2 linked regions of the Lepisosteus oculatus genome follow. The protein of the gene in region 1 interacts with the protein of each later gene in a biochemical or structural test. Links are inferred from orthologs where the notes say so. Each region holds a gene or a part of one and is shown in the gene's direction. Other genes may lie near its edges.

The links.
Region 2: the proteins of racgap1 (region 1) and ect2 form a complex in vitro, tested with the Homo sapiens proteins (3 studies listed by BioGRID and IntAct, with this or other methods). The link is inferred for Lepisosteus oculatus from reciprocal best matches to the Homo sapiens genes RACGAP1 and ECT2.

What each region holds. Positions count from the first base shown.
Region 1 is NC_090696.1:15,976,179-15,984,780, forward strand, and holds the start of racgap1 (rac GTPase-activating protein 1), read left to right. Parts: upstream 1-4,779; 5' UTR 4,780-4,937; intron 4,938-6,198; 5' UTR 6,199-6,201; coding exon 6,202-6,286; intron 6,287-7,400; coding exon 7,401-7,603; intron 7,604-8,016; coding exon 8,017-8,153; intron 8,154-8,363; coding exon 8,364-8,433; intron 8,434-8,602.
Region 2 is NC_090708.1:675,319-684,083, forward strand, and holds the start of ect2 (protein ECT2), read left to right. Parts: upstream 1-4,556; 5' UTR 4,557-4,829; intron 4,830-5,765; 5' UTR 5,766-5,787; coding exon 5,788-5,920; intron 5,921-6,771; coding exon 6,772-6,851; intron 6,852-8,583; coding exon 8,584-8,679; intron 8,680-8,765. Other genes in the region: mcf2l2 (guanine nucleotide exchange factor DBS), read left to right, coding at 666-766. UniProt on the Homo sapiens protein: Guanine nucleotide exchange factor (GEF) that catalyzes the exchange of GDP for GTP. Promotes guanine nucleotide exchange on the Rho family members of small GTPases, like RHOA, RHOC, RAC1 and CDC42.

The sequences.
Region 1 (8,602 bases):
CGGTTTCTACACCGACGGAGAAAAAGGAGCGGAGAGGGACCTCCAGCTCTCTCTTGTTGAGTGTGGATGTGCGGTCGAGCCGGCCGAAAACACTCCGTTAGAAGAATAAGATCGCCGCTCAGTCTTTATTTTCACACAGAGCCTCTCACGAATAATAACGACCTGCCCTTGGCGGTGAAACAGCATTGTCTCTTCGGTATCAGAGGAAGAATACGTCTTACACCTGGCGAAGTTTCATGATGAAAACACGTTTTGGTTTTCTATTCCTAATGAAGCTCCCAAGGAGAGATCCTGATTAAACAGTTAAATTCCTCATCTCGCCTTCCGGTTAGAGCGAAAACCGTGAAAACGTGTCTTGAGACACTTGTGTGTTCCGTCGATCTTGACCATTTTCACTGTCAACTTAACCGCTGTATTCAGGGTATTTATGACTGGAAAGACACAGTATAAATGGGATAGACGTGTTTTTGTGTTCATAAGAAAGCGCAATTGAACAAAATTGCTGTCCTCTTTAGTCCTGGAAATCGCAATGCTCGACAAAGCCCGAGTGTAACAATACGACAAACCGCACAGTGTGTGCCCAAGGCAGGCTGGCAGTCATGGAGTTTCACGATATTAAACGATCGGAACAGGGGTGGAACAGTGCAGCGGTGGCTCTTGGGTCCCGGGTTCGGTTCTGGACTGGGTACCGTCTGCACCTTGTTCCCGTTTCAGGCTGGGTTTTGTCTGGGTGCTCGGTGACCTCCCACCTTCCAAACACACATGAGCCAAGTCACTAACGTGTTTCTGTGAGTGTCCGCATGTGCATGTGTGTAGATGCGTGTGCATGTGTGGATGAGTGTGAATGTGCATGTGTGTGGATGCGTGTGAATCTGCATGTGTGTGGATGCGTGTGAGTGTGTGGATGCGTGTGCATGTGTGTGGATGTGTGTGAATGTGCATGCGTGTGGATGTGTGTGAATGTGCATGCGTGTGGATGCGTGTGAGTGTGTGGATGCGTGTGCATGTGTGTGGATGTGTGTGAATGTGCATGTGTGTGGATGCGTGTAGACATCTCGCTGTTATTTGTTCTGTCACTGGTTTGTGTTCAGGATTGTGAATGTGTTGGGTGTGTTGGGTGGATGCTGTCAGGGTCAGCCCTGGGCATGGGCGAATTAGGGGTCTATCTCAGGCCCCAAGGCCACCAGGGACCCCTACCTAGGGGCCCCTCAAAATGCAACACAACATATTTTTAATCAGCACCTTCAAATCTGATTGTCAAATTCCCTTAGTGGCTTTTTTAGTTGCTGCTGTGGATGATCCTAATGGAAGCCCCGTCAACACATGACCAATCATAATTGAGTACGTGATGTTTCTGAAGAATCCCTGGCCGGGTACTCAGAACATGTGCCTGGCAGATAGCTGATCTCTGTACTGACATCTTCAACCTGTCCTTGGCCCAGGCTACTGTACCTAGGTACTTCAAAACAACCACCATCGTACCGGTACCAAAAGAATCTGCACCCACATGCCTGAACATGTGGTGGAGATGGTGAACAACTTCAAATTCCTAGGTGTTCATATCTCTGAGGACCTCACATGGGCACTGAACACCTCCAGTTTCAAGAAGGCACAACAGCGGCTGTACTTCCTGAGAAGGTTGAAGAAAATGCACCTACATCCACAGATCCTCACCAACTTCTGCAGATGTACGGTGGGGAGCATACTGACCAGCTGCATCACAGCCTGGTACGGCAACTGCACCGCATCCGACCGCAAGGCCCTGCAGCGGGTGGTCAAAACTGCCCAACACATCATCGGCAGTGCCTTACCACCCATCCAGGAAATCTACAACACCAGGTGTCTGAAAAAAGCCACCAAAATTACGACTGACCCCACTCACAACTTGATTGTCCCCCTACCATCTGGTAGAAGGTTCCGGATGCTCCAGACGCACACAAAAAGACTCCGAAATAGCTTCTTCCCTCGAGACGTGAAGCTGGTGACCCCCCCAGCTCCCACCCACCAAACTATGATCTCTCCTTACACCACTACATACATCCTATGTCCCACAATTGAATGCAAGCAGAGCTTGAACTGGGTACTGTCACACTGGTGCCATACTCGTTGTTTACATTGTTATTGTTACTGCAGTGCATTCGAGTTCCCCTGGGTATACACCCTCACCACTCCCACCTCAGTCAGCCCTCCACCACTGGGGCTCAAACCCGGGCCTCCGGCGTCACTCAACAGGGACCCAGCCAGTTGAGCTAAAGGGAGGCAGACCTGAGGGGTCATACCCACGTGAACCCGGAAGCGCTTCATTATTCTATTTACTATTGTCTTGTCTGCTTTTCTATATATACATTACATACTGCACCCGAGAGACTGGTGAGAAATACCTTTCATTATGCTACGCAAATGTATAAGTATAATGACAAAAAAAAAGCTGAATTGAATTGAAACTTGGAGAAGAAGAGCGGGACAAGCGATCTCAAAACGGACTCACGCTCAGGTCATTGTAATAGTGCGCTCTGTGCGTGGTCGTGTAATTTGGATCTGTTTGGGTCCTGGGTCAGTCAGATCCCTGTAACCAGCGAACGGTAGATAAGACACCTTTTCAAGCTGGACACGAAGCCCTCTGGGGGTGTTTTACCAGAAGGTAACGGGTTTCCCGCGACTGTACACATGCCGTGCGGGTTGCCTGGCGAAAACTCGACGCTGCCCGGCCAAACAATAGCGTGAAAGGCAATGTACGGTACAGAAGACTGTTCAGCGATCATACACAATTGGCATGAAAACGCGTTGCTGTCCCCGCGGTTTCTCCTGTATTGAGTTAGATGGGGCTGCAGTGAACTCCACCTGTAGCCCGTCGGACTGACAGCAGCAGGAGCGGAGAGCCGACCCGGCCATCATGAGCATCAGTCTTCCAGTGGGTCGACTACTATCGTATAAAAGATATGATTGAAGATTTTGCCCCCCGATGGATGAATTAATTTAGCGTTTTGTTTTTATAAAATCTTACCGTCTGCCCAGCCTGACTGATCTCACCTCCCTTGCTGTTGAGCGCACTTGTTTCTTAATCACATATTTATTTCTACGATTTCTTTCTGCAAAGGTATCAATGCAGTGATTTGTAAGTTCGTTGCTGTAGGTCCGAGGTAACAGTGATGCTGACGTCACCACCCTTCCCTGTGATAGTGGGACCTCTCTTTGGCTCACCGGGCTGGGTCCCTGTTGAGTGACGCAGGAGTCCAGGGTTCGAGCCCCCGACGGTGCGGGGCCGAGCTAATGCGGCAAGGGCGCCCGCCTGAACCCCCGTTGCGTTAAAATACGTTATCCTTGTAAAAGTTGTGCTTCTTCTTCTTGTTTATAACTTATTATGTGTTCTTTAAAGCTGGTTAGTACATTTTACAGTTATGTAATGGATGTCTTAAACTGTTTTAAATGGTAAACTAAGGCTGTGCTGGGAGCTGATAATAGTAGTTTATGCGCAAATTATGATCTGGAACGGACCCTTTCCAATATCTTGCTTCGAGCCCTCAAGCTAGAGCCTGCCCTGGATGCTATCTATTATGTAGTATATTTGTGTTTTGTATATCTTTAATTGTACGAGCCGCACCTGAAGAAGGCTCCACAGCTGAAACGTTGTGTCTTTCTTTCAGCACGGAATAGGAATACAACTTTACCTGTTCCCTGAGTCCCTGCTAGATCACTTAATATTGGGTCCTCCCAGGTGGTGCAGCAATTCTGGAGAAAAACCGGGCTCACGCTGCCATCTCGTGGACATTCGGTGTAGCTGCAACCTGTTTCACCTGGCCCCTGGCCCCGCACGGGCCAAGTGCTCGGAATCCTCCGTGGCGCTGTCAAAGTCACCCCCTTGGGCTTTTTCAGATCCCGCATTGAAACTCCCGAGGGGAACAAGTGGGGACTCCAGGGAAGACCAAATAAAACCGAGAACAGGAACACTTCGTTATACAAAGGGCTATGGGAGTCTGGAACAAGCTGCCCAGCGAAGTTATAAGATAAGATCACTTTATTAGCCATATACAATTTCTTGCATTAGGAACTGGTCTTTTTTTTGCATACCCCAGCTTTCTCTCCATGAGACACACAGACAGGGAGAGAGAAGCTAGGGGTTACAGCACAGGGTCAGCCATTTATACTGGGGTTAAGGGCCTTGCTCAGGAGCCCAACGGAGTAGGATTTAAACCAGCAACCTCCCGGCCACAGGCACGGATCCTTAGCCACAGTGCCACCGCTCCACCAAATCGAAGCGGATACCCTGGTTTCTTTCAAGAAGTGGTGAGATTAGACTCGTCTATTCTTGAGGCTTTATTACAATTATTTATGTGGGATGCTTTGGAAAATGGACTTCACGTGATGAATTATCACGATTTCCCAGGAGGTCTCTCATCCAGCTGCTGGCCAGGCTAACACCTGCTGAGCTTTAGAGGGTTGCTAGTTGCGAGTTGCGAGTTGCAGGGTGATATAGCTGCTGAAATTGCATTTATTGTAAAATAAAATACTTATAATTCCTTTAATTCACATATAGTTGCTAATAGACAGGTGAGAATGACCGATGTCTCTATAAGAAATCTTTATAACCAGAATTTACACTACAAGGAGACGACAACTTTCTCACAGAATCTGAAGTATCGATCCCGCGGAAAACTACGGGGTTTAAAATGAACGCCGCGGCTTTGCCACAACAAAGATGGCGTCCGTCAGGCGTCACGTCGCGACGTCTTCTCCTGCGCGCGCACGCTAGGTAGCGTGGACTGGAGCTTGGTCATTGGCTGGCGGGTAAATTTGAATTGAAACGAAACGGCTGCGATAAGGAAAAGCAGATCGTCAATACTGTGGATAATAACCTTCAGAAGTATTGGGGGAAAACAATATATTAATTTTTACAGAAAGAAAGCCGACTTCTCGGCTTTGTAGGCATTGTGAAAGGGGTAAGACCACAAATATCAATCGTAAAGTTTTCAGTTTGTTTTTCCTGTGTAGTTGTGTATATGTTAACCTAGGGTCGGTGTTTGTTTTTAAAATGAAATACAAAACTAGTTTTGTAAATGTCGGAGGTGAGATTTTGCCCCCAAACGGCAGAATTAGTTTCCATTTTATAATGGTAACTCCTACAAAGCGAGAACTACTTCAGCTTTTTCTTTGAACTTCTCGAAATGGAGGAATGTTTAAAATAACACAACGAATCTTTTCTTGTTCGTCTTTGTGAATCTTCTACAGATACACAGAAAGGAGGCTGTAAAGTACTTTGATTGCTTGACCAGTCCTCGAGCTTTGCTGTTTAAATTCACGTTAAACTGTGTATTGAATGGACTTAGTTTACCAAGGTGCTGCCCAGTTTCGGCTGTAAATAACCTCCAGGGTTAATGTCGCTTTGCTGTGCAGAGTTCGGTTTCTGTCTTGTGCAAGCGGACTGTGCCTTCAATTTGAGATTTCTAAAAATGTTATTAGCGACTCGTTTTCGTGTGAATGTTTTAAGGCGCTTTATAAATAAGGGATCTCAGCGTTGTCGTACTAGAACAGTAGAGGCTGGATTAAGCCCATTTAACCAAACCTCAGTCACCATGTTGGGAACAAAATAGTTACCGAATATTGTTGGTATACCTATACTGCCCTGGTCGTGGTAAGCCCGTACGCTGGCTCTTCTGCGTTGTGTTCTCAGATTTACACAATGCAGAAATTAAAAGCGACCTTGCACGGATTAAGAACCGAAAACGCTTAAAGGATCCCAGTGCGTGCCAGGCCAATTAAGACTAAGAGTTCAGTAACGCAACGAGCCCGGCTGCAATGAAAACCAGCGGCTGCCCAAAGTGATGTGAGATCCCCCAGTTTTGCTGTTTTAGAGGTCCTTTACATAAATGGAGGGCAGTTCTACAGCCTAAGAAATAACCTTGCAAAATGAGTCAGCTCAAGGGCCTTGAGAAATGTTTGTTAGTCTTCCTTCTCCATTTTGCAAACATTGTTCAGTAGGCATGTGCGTTATTCCCAGTGACCCTGCTTGATTTCTCACCCAAAGATCATCTTATTAAAGTTACTTGTTCCTTTGCAGCCTACGCATGCTGACGCAGCTACCCACCTGATCTATATTAAAGTTCTGATGACCTGAGGATTTGGGGCTTTTTGCAGCAGTTACTTTTGTCATTCAAACTGAGAGAGTGGGTATTTTATTCTAACCCGCGTGTGTCTTGGCAGGCGATGGAGACCGCGGTGGTCAGTTTGCACGGCCTGTTTGACAAGCTGCGGCACCACGCTGAAGTCCTGAACGAGAGCGTCGAACCTCGTAAGCGCCTTTCTTTCCTAAAGGGAGCCCCTTCGCACGAGGCTGTTGAGCTACAGCGTGATCTTCACTCCTGGTCCCGGAGGACTGCTGTACTCCGGGCTTCACGGCTATAATCATCCTCGCTGGGTGAAGGCGTAGTGACTGTGGTCATAGACGTGTTATGTGAACAGTTGATTCAGATAAAGCCCTTAGGAGTTGAGGGTGGAATGAAAGAAAACAGCAGCTTGAGGGGACCAGGAGCAAATATCAATGTCAGAATCAAATGCTCATCACTGTCATTAAAGCTAATTTGCCGTGTAAACTCAAGGGCCAAAATTCTAGGTGACCCCATCAAATAACCCGGTGGGCCTTCATGAGCATCCCAAATAGGTTTCATAGGATGTGGCGCATATTCCACAAGGTTCTGGATCGTCAGTCTTATCCCGTCGTCCAGCAGGATATCGTTAGCTGAGGCCATGAGGGGTGACAATGGTGTGAGATGTGGGAATGAACTGCGTGTTCAACCCGTTCTGCAAGATCTGAAGAGGATTCAGTGCTGGAGGTTTTTCTGCCCAGGAAAGGTGATGGAGGTCTCTCCTGCTCCTTAAGCCGCCTGTGCTTTGCAGCTGTGGTGGGAGCCGGTTATTTGATTGTGTTCCTGATATTTTGGGCCATGAGTGTGCAAGCAATACAAATGTTGGAAAACACGCTGAAACTCTTATTTTGCCTAAAAGTAGTCTTAATTTTTCAGTTAAAAATATTGCAGCATAAAACCCAAACATAAGCAAAAAAAATATTGTCTCTTATACCAAAGTTATAACAGGAATTTATTTTGGTCCTGGTTTATACCTTAATGAGCTTTTGTATGCTTAATTTTATGTACTGTATATTTTATTCACAGGTCAATGATTTTGAGTCCCTTGTTAAATGTGTATGTCTTGATACCTCCGATCTGATTAAGATGCCTAATTAAAGTTAGTTTTGCCTCTCCTACAGTAAGTGTCAATTCAGCTGAAATAAAAACTAAGTTTAAAAAGTTGAAACCAAGTGTTACCTTAGGCCCGCCTTACAGGAGATAGTCATACAGCACATATAGTTCAGGTATAGAATCCTCCTGAGCCTCTTTGCTCTTCAGAGTTCATCCAGCTGGCGGTGAATTTCGAGGACTGCCGCCGCAAGTGGCTGAAGAGCGAGCAGGAGCTGGTGTCGTGCAAGGAGGTGCTGGCCAAGGCGGAGACCGAGCGCGGCGCCCTGGAGGTCAAGCTCAAGCACGCCCGCAACCAGGTGGACGTGGAGGTCCGCCGGCGCCAGAAGGCTGAGGCCGAGTGCGAGAAACTGGTGGGTGTGCCCCAGCTCCTGCTCGGGGGCTTTTGTGCTTTCCCAACCTTGCCTATGCGAGCAGCGAGAGTCACACTGAGGCTTCTGTCTTGGGCTTTTTCTGAAGAGACCGAATGAGAGCTAGTTCTCCAGGGACTGAGATGGTACTTGAAGGGGCATAGAATCCTATGAAAATACCTGAGAATAAGTCCTTTTAATTTCATTCTTCAGTTTAACTAATATTTTAAATTTGCTCAGTGGTTACAGCTATACCAAGTTGATGAGGTGTGTTTTTGTAAGTATTGAATAGAGAAGATTCCTAAAAACTATATTTTGTGTGCAGTATGGGCATGTGTGTATTATGTGAAGAATGGGAGCCGTGCTTATAAATGGGCCCACTGTGACCCTCTTTCCCCATTGGCATTGTATTTCAGGATCGGCAGATCCAGTTGATCAGAGAGCTGCTGATCACGGAGGGATCCACTAGCATTCAGCTAAACGAAGAGCAGCGATCTGCCCTGGCCTTCCTCAATGCCCGGACTCAGGCAGCCCCACAGAACACCAGCCGGAGGTAAGCATGACCCTACTCTTCCAATTCCTTTTAAAGGAAGTTGAGTGTTCTGTCCACTGACACATGCTGTTATTACAGCAGGTTGGTGCCTTTTCTGAGGTGGCCCTGAAGGGAAAGGTACCCTCTGTTTGGCTGGCACCTCCAAGAAGCTAAGAAGACCATCCCTTTTTCTTATCTGAGACCTCTATTGCCATTTTTCTTCTTTTGCAGGTTAACCACGATTGACGAGTCTGCATCCATTCTGTCAGATATCAGCTATGACAAGACAGATGACTCCCTGGTAATATTTTACCCCAGACATTTAACGTATTGGAGGGGAAAAAATGGTGACGCACAGAGTTGTAATGTCAGCTCAACCACATTCAAGGCTTTGCTCAGTCCTAACAGTTTTCACTAAGTACTAGCATTTTGAATTGGGGAGAAAGTCCTTGCTGCACCATTGATCTGTG
Region 2 (8,765 bases), on another chromosome or scaffold:
TGTAGAGCAGGAGTCTCAGGTTCAGTTCCTGGAGGGCCTGGAGTCTTCTGGTTTTTGTTCCAACCACATTCTCAGTTCCATACATGAACTAATTATTTAATTAGCTATATAAGTGTAATGCTTCTAACCAGAATCCAAAGTGATTTGAACTGTAGGTAGCTGTACCTTAATGAAGCGAGATGTGTTGTGCAGCCAACAGTAAAAAAGTCCTTACCAAAAATCCTGTACAGGTCTAATTCAGAAAATAATTAGGTTAATTGTTTAATCGACTCCTTAGGTTGGAACGAAACCCAGAAGACAACAGGCCCTCCAGGAGCCGAGCCCGAGACCCCGCTTGAGTCAGGTGGAGGTGCTGCAGTAGCTTGAGGTCTCCTCCACTGTTACATCCTGCTGTTCTGGAACCTTTCGGGTTCCCCCGAGCCTGTCTGGCATTTCCATCCCTGTATTCCCGGGGACTGGCCTGGCCACACGACTGCATTGGCTTGCAGTGTATTCGGCGTGAGAACAACCCAGCAGCCCAAGAAAGTAAAGTTAGATAGATCTAACACCGTGCGCTTTCCCGAGCGTCTGCAGCAGCCGCCTGCTGTCTCGCACAGACAGAGTCGTTTCAAAACGCCGCGTTGCCATTCGTTTCTCCGCCTCTTAACCGCCGTTCCCCTTTCCAGATTTTTTCAGCGACATGTGCACGGCCGCTCTCGCCGACACGGAAGAGAAGGAAAGCGAGCGCGCGGGACAGATGGCGACGGAGTTGAGGGCTGGGAGTTGAAACCGAGGGGATTCTCAGTCGTCTTTCAGCTTCTGGCTTTCTTGTGTGCCACGCGGGTCTGGAGCTTGCAGGCTGCCTTCAATCCGCCCTCCCAGAGGAGTCCTCTAGCGGAAGCTGCTTTGCTTATTGTAACTAAAGGCTCCAGGTTCCAATCTGCCTGTATTGTCCAAAGAGCTCCTACGTCTGCTGCCATTGGGTAGTAAACCAGACACCCTCTCAGCTGCTACGTCCTGTACAGAAGCTCTCCTTCCAGGCGAATAAATAGCACAAAAAGTGGTGCTTTATGCTTTGATTCAGCGCTGTTGCAGTGCCTTTCCGTTCCACAGTTCCAGTAACGTGCCGCTGCTCCTTCCCTTCCTGGCTGTAACTCGGCAGAGCTGCGTGTGTGTCAGGAGGTTGCAACAGCAAGCTGCGACAGCTGAGAGGACCAGGTCTGTCAGCGTCTGTTGAGCCTGAATATAGACATCGATAGTGTGGCGACGGAGATAAAGACCCTGCAGCTCTGGTTCTCACTGTGTTTAGCTGCGCTCCAGCCTGGCGACTGTAACACTCTGCTGAGGGAGAGGGTGATGTTGTGAGTGGTTCCTGTGTGGTTGTTGGTGTCACTGTTTCCCTCTCCTCTCCTTTGGCAATATGGACAAGAACAGCACAAGCAGAAACAGGCCATATCCTGTCTGCGGCGCATGGATTTCTGCGTCCTGCGAAAACTGAGCACTTTTGGACAAAGACCAGTCACCAAATAGAAAGTTATTTGTGACTTGCCATCTGTGAGAGAAGTAATTCTTTGAACAGTACAGGTTTACCTCTCATTTTTGAAGAAGCATTCACTCTTGGCTATATTTCATCTGAATGTGCTGTATTTGTTTTCAGGCTTAGTGTTTTGCTTGTGTGAAGTTCTCGTGTACTTCTCCCAGCCACAATATTCAGTTTGATCTGAGAGTAGCATATGTTATATATATATTTTATAAATATTTCTGTGTGTCAGGATATGAGCATTTTTACTAGACATACTCTTCAATGTTTAGTAAATTGTGAACTGTAGAAAACCATTACAAGAGCAAAACACTCTTGCGTTCAGAATACACTGTTACGCTGGGAACGCTGTCACAGTGAGAGGCTGCTAGATAGCTGCCGTGAAGACGTGATGCATACATAACGAGACAAGTGTAGCAAATTGCTAAGAATAAAGTCATGCGCACATTTTGATTAAACAGATCATTATCAGTAGTTTATAAACTTCAGGTTTTGATCATTTTCAAATATAATTTTCTCGTATCAGTTTTTTTGTAACGCAGAATAATTCATCTTCACTGTACTCTGCTTCACATGGGCATTACGAATTGTCCTGAACTCCTTTACGTGAGCTAGCTATTGCTTGTCAATGATAAGCTTTATGATAGATGACCAGGAATGTTTCTTTTTTTTCAAAATTACAGCAGTTTTGTTAAAACATATTCAAGGTGTTTGTGGGACTTGTGCCTGAGAACTTACAGTAGGGGCCTTTTGATTTTGCTACTTGTTCTAGTGGATTGAATGTAATTTTATCTTTTAATGGTGGTGTAAAAAGAGATACCCTAAAATTCTGGTCTTTACTTTTGTGACCAAAAACAAAATCAAGGTGTTGCATTGTCTTGATGTTTCTTAAAGCATTTCTACTGAGGCAGACCATTCAGGCACAGTCTTTTTCATTCAGAAATTGTGAAGCTCCTTCTGCTAACTTTTGTCTGTATTTATTTGAAAGGATAAAAAAAAACTTGGAATCCTAGACTGCAAACTGCATTTTGTATATGTATGAGCAATGTCATTGGATATACTGTGTAAATGACCTTTCTGTACATTTTTAAACATATTGAAATTACAATGCGTTGTTAAAAGAAGGTGTCTGTGTCTTCTTGTCGGCTCATGATGGATGCCATTCAGGTACAGTGGAATGCATACAGCACATCATTATAACTCTGTGCTGTCAGCTGCTGCTCCGGCGAGGAACAGAAAAGACCATTAATGTGGGCCTTAAAGCGTAATGTATTCCTTCGGTTGGTGGTAGGCACTAACTTTTTATCTGCTTTCTTCTGTCGGGATTAAATTATATATAAAAGATATGCACATTGTAAAGTTTTACATGTTGTTCCCACTATTGAGTGTGTCAGCTGGTGGGTGGCATCATTGATCCAAATTAGCGCTGATCCGAGCCGGTCGCCTTGCCTCCTCATTACAGGCCTTCATAAAGGATGGCTCCTCATTCCAGCACCGACGCTCTCGTCAAACCAGAATAAATTAAACCCCACTCTCGGCCTCCCCGTCTCATTTATGCACAAAGGGGCACCAGATTTCATGCACCAGAGTTGTGTAGAAAACACACAGATAAATGTGTTTTATATGTATGCTTCAGAAATTAATCTTGTAAAAAAAAATATCTGCAGTGTCTGTGATTGTGAGGTCTTCAGTCATAATGTTAAGTGTCCAAAACTATACGATAATACATTTAAATGAAACTATAAAATTGTAGGGTTTTTAAAAACAATGTTTGACAAACAAAATTATTTTTTCCACAGACAAATGATCATTAATTCCTTTCCTAGGCTAACAAAATAAAGAATTGCACTCCTTTTTTCCTTCACAAGAATAAATTCAACTTATGTTAACTTATGTTTTCATGTGCCGTGAAATAAACTTTTCCAAGCTTTTAAAACTTAAATAATGGGCATTCAAAACTATACTGTGATACTAGTACTCTGAAAATGGCTTCTTGGTGCTTTTGTTGACTCTCAAATAAAAACATATGTGGGGAACTTTGATGCAGACTGAGTCTCCAACGAATGTATCGTATTTTGCAAGTGGAAAAAGCAGATGAATCCATGTCAGCAGGGTGAAGGTGAAGCAGATGAAGCAGAGTACCTAGACGTGTCTTGTGGCGCACCTTGAGCGGATACTCTGGCGTCTACAGCAATAAAACTGAGAAAGCTGTAAGAATCAACTTTCTGGAGTCACCTCGTACAATAAACACATCTTTCCATCATCATTCACTCGAGATAGTCTGTGGGTAATAAGCTGAGAAACGTTCTGCGGCGAAGTCGTGCACTCTTCGGCCGGCCTAGAGCACACTGCAGAGGCGCAACACCCGTCCTGCTGACCCGCGAGTCACCCTCCAGAAACTGCAGCGAACACAGCCCTGTCAAGTGTCCACCACCCTATGGAGTAAAACTGCATTTTTTTTATGCAATTAAACCATAGCATCTGATCCGTGTTGATGTTCTACGTCAACGACAATAACGTTTTTATAAAGGAAAGAAGTAAAAGCAAAAGACAGAAACCAGATTGCAGAGATGCACACACGCACACTCGGGCTGTCAGCGTTGGGGTCCGGCGATGCCAAGTGACCTGCAGGTTCATGCTGCACCAGTTCAACACCAGCATGTGAAGACTCGGGGATGCAACCTGTGCGTTTCAGCACCATCAGGGGATACAGAGACCAGAGGGCCACGTTTGTGTAAGAACGTCTCTCCTAGTACACTAGTTTGAGTCACCCACCGAGGTCGACGGGACCTCCACTCATGTGAAGCCCTCCTGTGTTTTTAATGATACTTTTGTCCTAGCTACATTCAATCGCTCGGAACCGTGATGTTTACAAGCTGACAGAAACCCTACCGAGACGAACCGCGCCCGCCGCCACTGCAGGCTCGCGCACTGGGGCACTCGGGCACGCGAGCCGGTTTGAAAGCGCCAGCCAATGGGAACCGCGGGGACGTTATTTCCGGAAGATCCCCTTCCGGTCCTGGGCTGGCCTCTCGTCCAATCAGCGCGCAGCTCTGTGTTTGTCCAGCTTTTTTGAATTCAAGGAGACGAAACATAGCAGTTTGCTGCGAGAATGGGGCTTTACAGTTAATTCGCATTACACACAATAACCGCGGAACTTGACGTATTATCTTGTTTCTTTGTTTTTTTTGTTTTCTTTATTAGAAACGCGTTTCGTGTTGTAGCCGCGTGTGGTTTTGTTTGCAGGTGTTTTAGCTGCGTCCACCCTACCTGACTCTGCGGCGCCGGCCTGCTCCTGTCTCTCCTGCTGGTGGGTGTTAGTCTTTCTGGGAAATAAAAGAAAACATGTTTCTTACAGCTTGCCCCTGTAATGCCCGGGTCAGAAAAGGGTGAGTCTGCGGGCGAATGTTTCTGCGGGGCAAGACATTTGCTGACTAGTTTGTAGCAGGTGCGATTGTAACTTGTTCAGGTCTGGTCTGACATTAAATAGTTCATGTTTATTCCTGAGTGGTTCAGTCCAGCATGTTGCTGGCTACTCTCATTGACTTCTGAGTGTATTTGTACCTTTACTGGCTAATATCTGTGGCCGGTTTTGAGACTTGGTATGTGAACATCTCTGTTGATCATTCCGGAGGGACCTAAAGCTGAATCCTGTGCTCTTTCAGTAATCTTCCGTGGCTCCGAAGCTTAATCTTCCAATGAACGTTAATTTAAAATACTTCTGAATCGGGAAGTGTTTCAAAGATTGACTGGTACAACGCGTGTGGCGTTTTGATCTCTAAGTTTTTTTTCCCTAAAAAAAGTTCGTTGCATTTATAGTTAAAGGTCGAGTCTTGCAAGTCCCATTCTCCTGAAGCATGTTTTTTTTCAGTAGCTTCTGCAGCTTTGTTATTTAGGACACTGGCTGCACACGGGGATGGAGGACGGGCTTATTTGTGTTGACCCTGAGCCTTCTGGTTTCTGAGCGAAGGCTGCGAGTTCTGGGCCTGATTTGTTTTTCTCCCTGTTGCTGTGATGGGCTCTTCATTTCTTAATAAGATTCAGCAGAGGCTGCGCTCTTGTGAAGCACTGCCGTTTGTCTCGGACTCCGTGAGAGAGTCACGCTGAAGGTTTCCATGATCAGGTTTAGTGCCGTGGAGTTGTTTCAAACTATTCAGTTTATTTCAGTTAAACCGTAATTCGCTTTTGAAGGGGTAACTGGCATGCGGCGTGACATGTTTGCCCTTTCGGCTTGGTGTTTGCGTAGGGACATCAGCTCTTGATCTGCCATGGCTGACAGCAGTACTCTCACACTGGGGGCGGCCCCCAGCCTGCTGGTGGACTCCTCTGTCTATGACTCCAGGATGGCCGAGACCTCCAGGGACCACCTGTTTCTTGGTCTGACTCCAGAGGATGCTGAAGGTGACTCCAGAAAGCTAAGTCTTGTTACAGTTGTGTTGAGTTATTGCTGTCAAACTGGACATGTCTAAAGTGGGTTTGAACAATAACGGTGCACAGCGTCTCTTCAAAGGCCTTGGGAAATGCAGATCTCACCCAGTATTGCCAACCTGTTAAAATCTTTTTAATAATGATGAATTACAAAGTCCTCATACTCCACAATCTGTAGATCCTAAAACCTAGTGTGTGTAGCTTTTCTGGATTCCTGTGTTGTGGGGAAAAAAAAAAGAAACGTAACAAATGTTTTGTAAACCCGAGAAAGTAAGAGATGTGGAATAGACTGATGTTAGAAGCCTTTTTTCTCTTTTGTAATTTTCTCTTATTTTCTGGAAGGAATTTTGAAAGTTTACAGGTGTTTGTCTAGCAGGAACGGAAGAGGGCGCATGTATCTCCCCAGATATACAAGCACTGATTTTAAACTTGAGTTTGCACTTTATTTTGGGATCAGAAAATGTTTATCCTTTTTACATTTTTTTCTATAAATATGAAAATTAAGGATGCCGTTTTAGTCATTGAGCTGCACACTGAGAACATAAATAATCTGCAAACGAGATTCAGCCAATCTGGCTCATTGAGTAGTTATGTATGCATCATCTTAATCAGAATGGCTGGGTGAGACCAAGGGCCAGAACAGTTCCTGCTATGCTTATTTTTATGCTGTGAAGAGCCTTCTGTGTGCATTTCAAAGCCTAGTTTTCACTGTGGAGCACATAAACTACAGACTAGCATTTGTGTCTTAACTGTTAGAGAGGAGGACAGTTTAATATTTGTATCCATTCCCTTGCTTTGCAGTAATCATCTGTATCCTTTTGCAGATATGCTGCCTCGTGTTGAAACCAGGGTTATTCTTGTGGGAGAAGCAGGAAACAATGAAGAACTTGTTAAGGCATTGGAGGTAAAAAATAATACCATAGTGGGATATTTTATTCTTTCTTTCCTCTTTACAATAGCTCATTATTCAATTTTCAGATGAGTTGCTAAGCCTTTAGATGCAAGACAACACTGTACAGATTTAAACCTGCTGATCCCATAATAGTTTTTGTGTGATAGTTTTGAACAAATTATTCAATGGATAATATGCTAACAATGCTCCCCTTGGTATATATTACTGAAGCTCCAGGAATAAGAAGCTGATAATTTTTATTTAAATTGACAAATCCCCCTGTTGTAATTTCAGATTGCTGTTTGGAAATAAATTTATCCTAGAGTACTATCATTTGTCACTTGCTAAAAATAATAAAGTATCAGCAGCAGTAGATGTTTAAGGTTAAAATATGTATGACTCCAGCCATTTTTAGACAGAAATACCATTTTTCATTGTCCCTTCATTTGTTAATTTTCACAGTACTTGCACGGATGGTATAAAGGTGTTGCAATATTAAAATCTGAAATTAAATATCATGACCATACTGTGGCGTACTTAAAATGATTTACTATATAATCATTTTAAGTATTTATTGAGTTTCAGTCTTAGGGCTCCTGAAATCACAAATCTGTATGTAGATTTGTTTCTTGCAATGACCTATAAATCTTCACTGGGAGATGTTATTATTCTGAAGGTTTAAGATTGATTTTTATTTTTTCTTGCAAACAAGATCTGTGTGATGCTCTCGTAACCTGTGGTGCCTTATGCTGATCAAAACGATCCCTTCTAACTTCCATTGCCTTGGGTATCATACAACCCTGCAGCCTGATCTGCTTAGATCTCGGATCTTTGTCAAGGCTGGGCCTGATTGGTACTGAGATGGTATACCTCCCAAGAAAAGCCAGGTTGCAGCTGCAAATGGGTATGCAAGAGGGACTTTTCCATCTGGATCAGAATTCCCAAACTTTTGCCCTTGCAAATATGAGGGTGTCATGTGCAAGTTGCTTTCTTCGGAATGAGGTTAAACTGAGGTCGTGACAACTTGCTCGTTGATCCTATGGTACTGTTCACACTGGTGTCCTGGCAAAATTCCAGTCTAGACTTGTATGTCTGGTCTCTTTCTTTAATCCCCTTGATTCGACTGGTGAAGCAATTTTTCCATCTCATCTGTTCCAGCAACCCCAATAAGATAAGATCACTTTATTAGCCATATCAAATTTCTTGCATTAGGAATTTGTCGATTGCAGAATGGCTGTCACCCAGATGGGACTGTACTTCCTTGGTGAATGAAGTGTGTTTTTTCCGAGATGTAAAGCTATTTGGAGTCCTTTGGCGTAAAAAAGCGCAATATTAGTGCAGTGAATTTTTAATATTACCTCAAAGATCACTGCTGGGATGCTTGAGAAGCAACTTAACGTGAGAAACTGTGAAAAAACACTTGTCGTCACAGATGTTTTCCTTTTTGTTGTCTGTAAAGTTTGATGCATAGGAATCTGGTAATATCAATGGAGCTGATACGTATTACCTTTCAATAATCACTTTGCTGTGGATCAATGTACTATAAACTAGCTAATGAAAGGTTGAGAGAAACTGGTCTAAAATGTTTGAACAGAAGAAAACAATCTGCTTTATCTTTCATAAATTTCTTAATTTCAAACCGATCGTCTTGTTAGACATGGGAAAAGAAATGGAGTTGTTCTCCATTTAACATGCGATGCAGAGCAATGTCACCTTGTTTCAAGAGAGTTCTTCGTTTTTGCAGGCCACTAAAATAATGGAGGTGCCAGTGGTAAAGATTAAAGGAGCTGAACCCGGCAGTCAGTCGGGAGAAAAGTTTATAAAATCTATAGTCAATATGGTATGTCTCTGGATGTGGGCTGTGCATGCTTAAATCCACCCTGGGACAAATACTGCATGGCTGGGTGAAGGTGATTGGTGTATTAA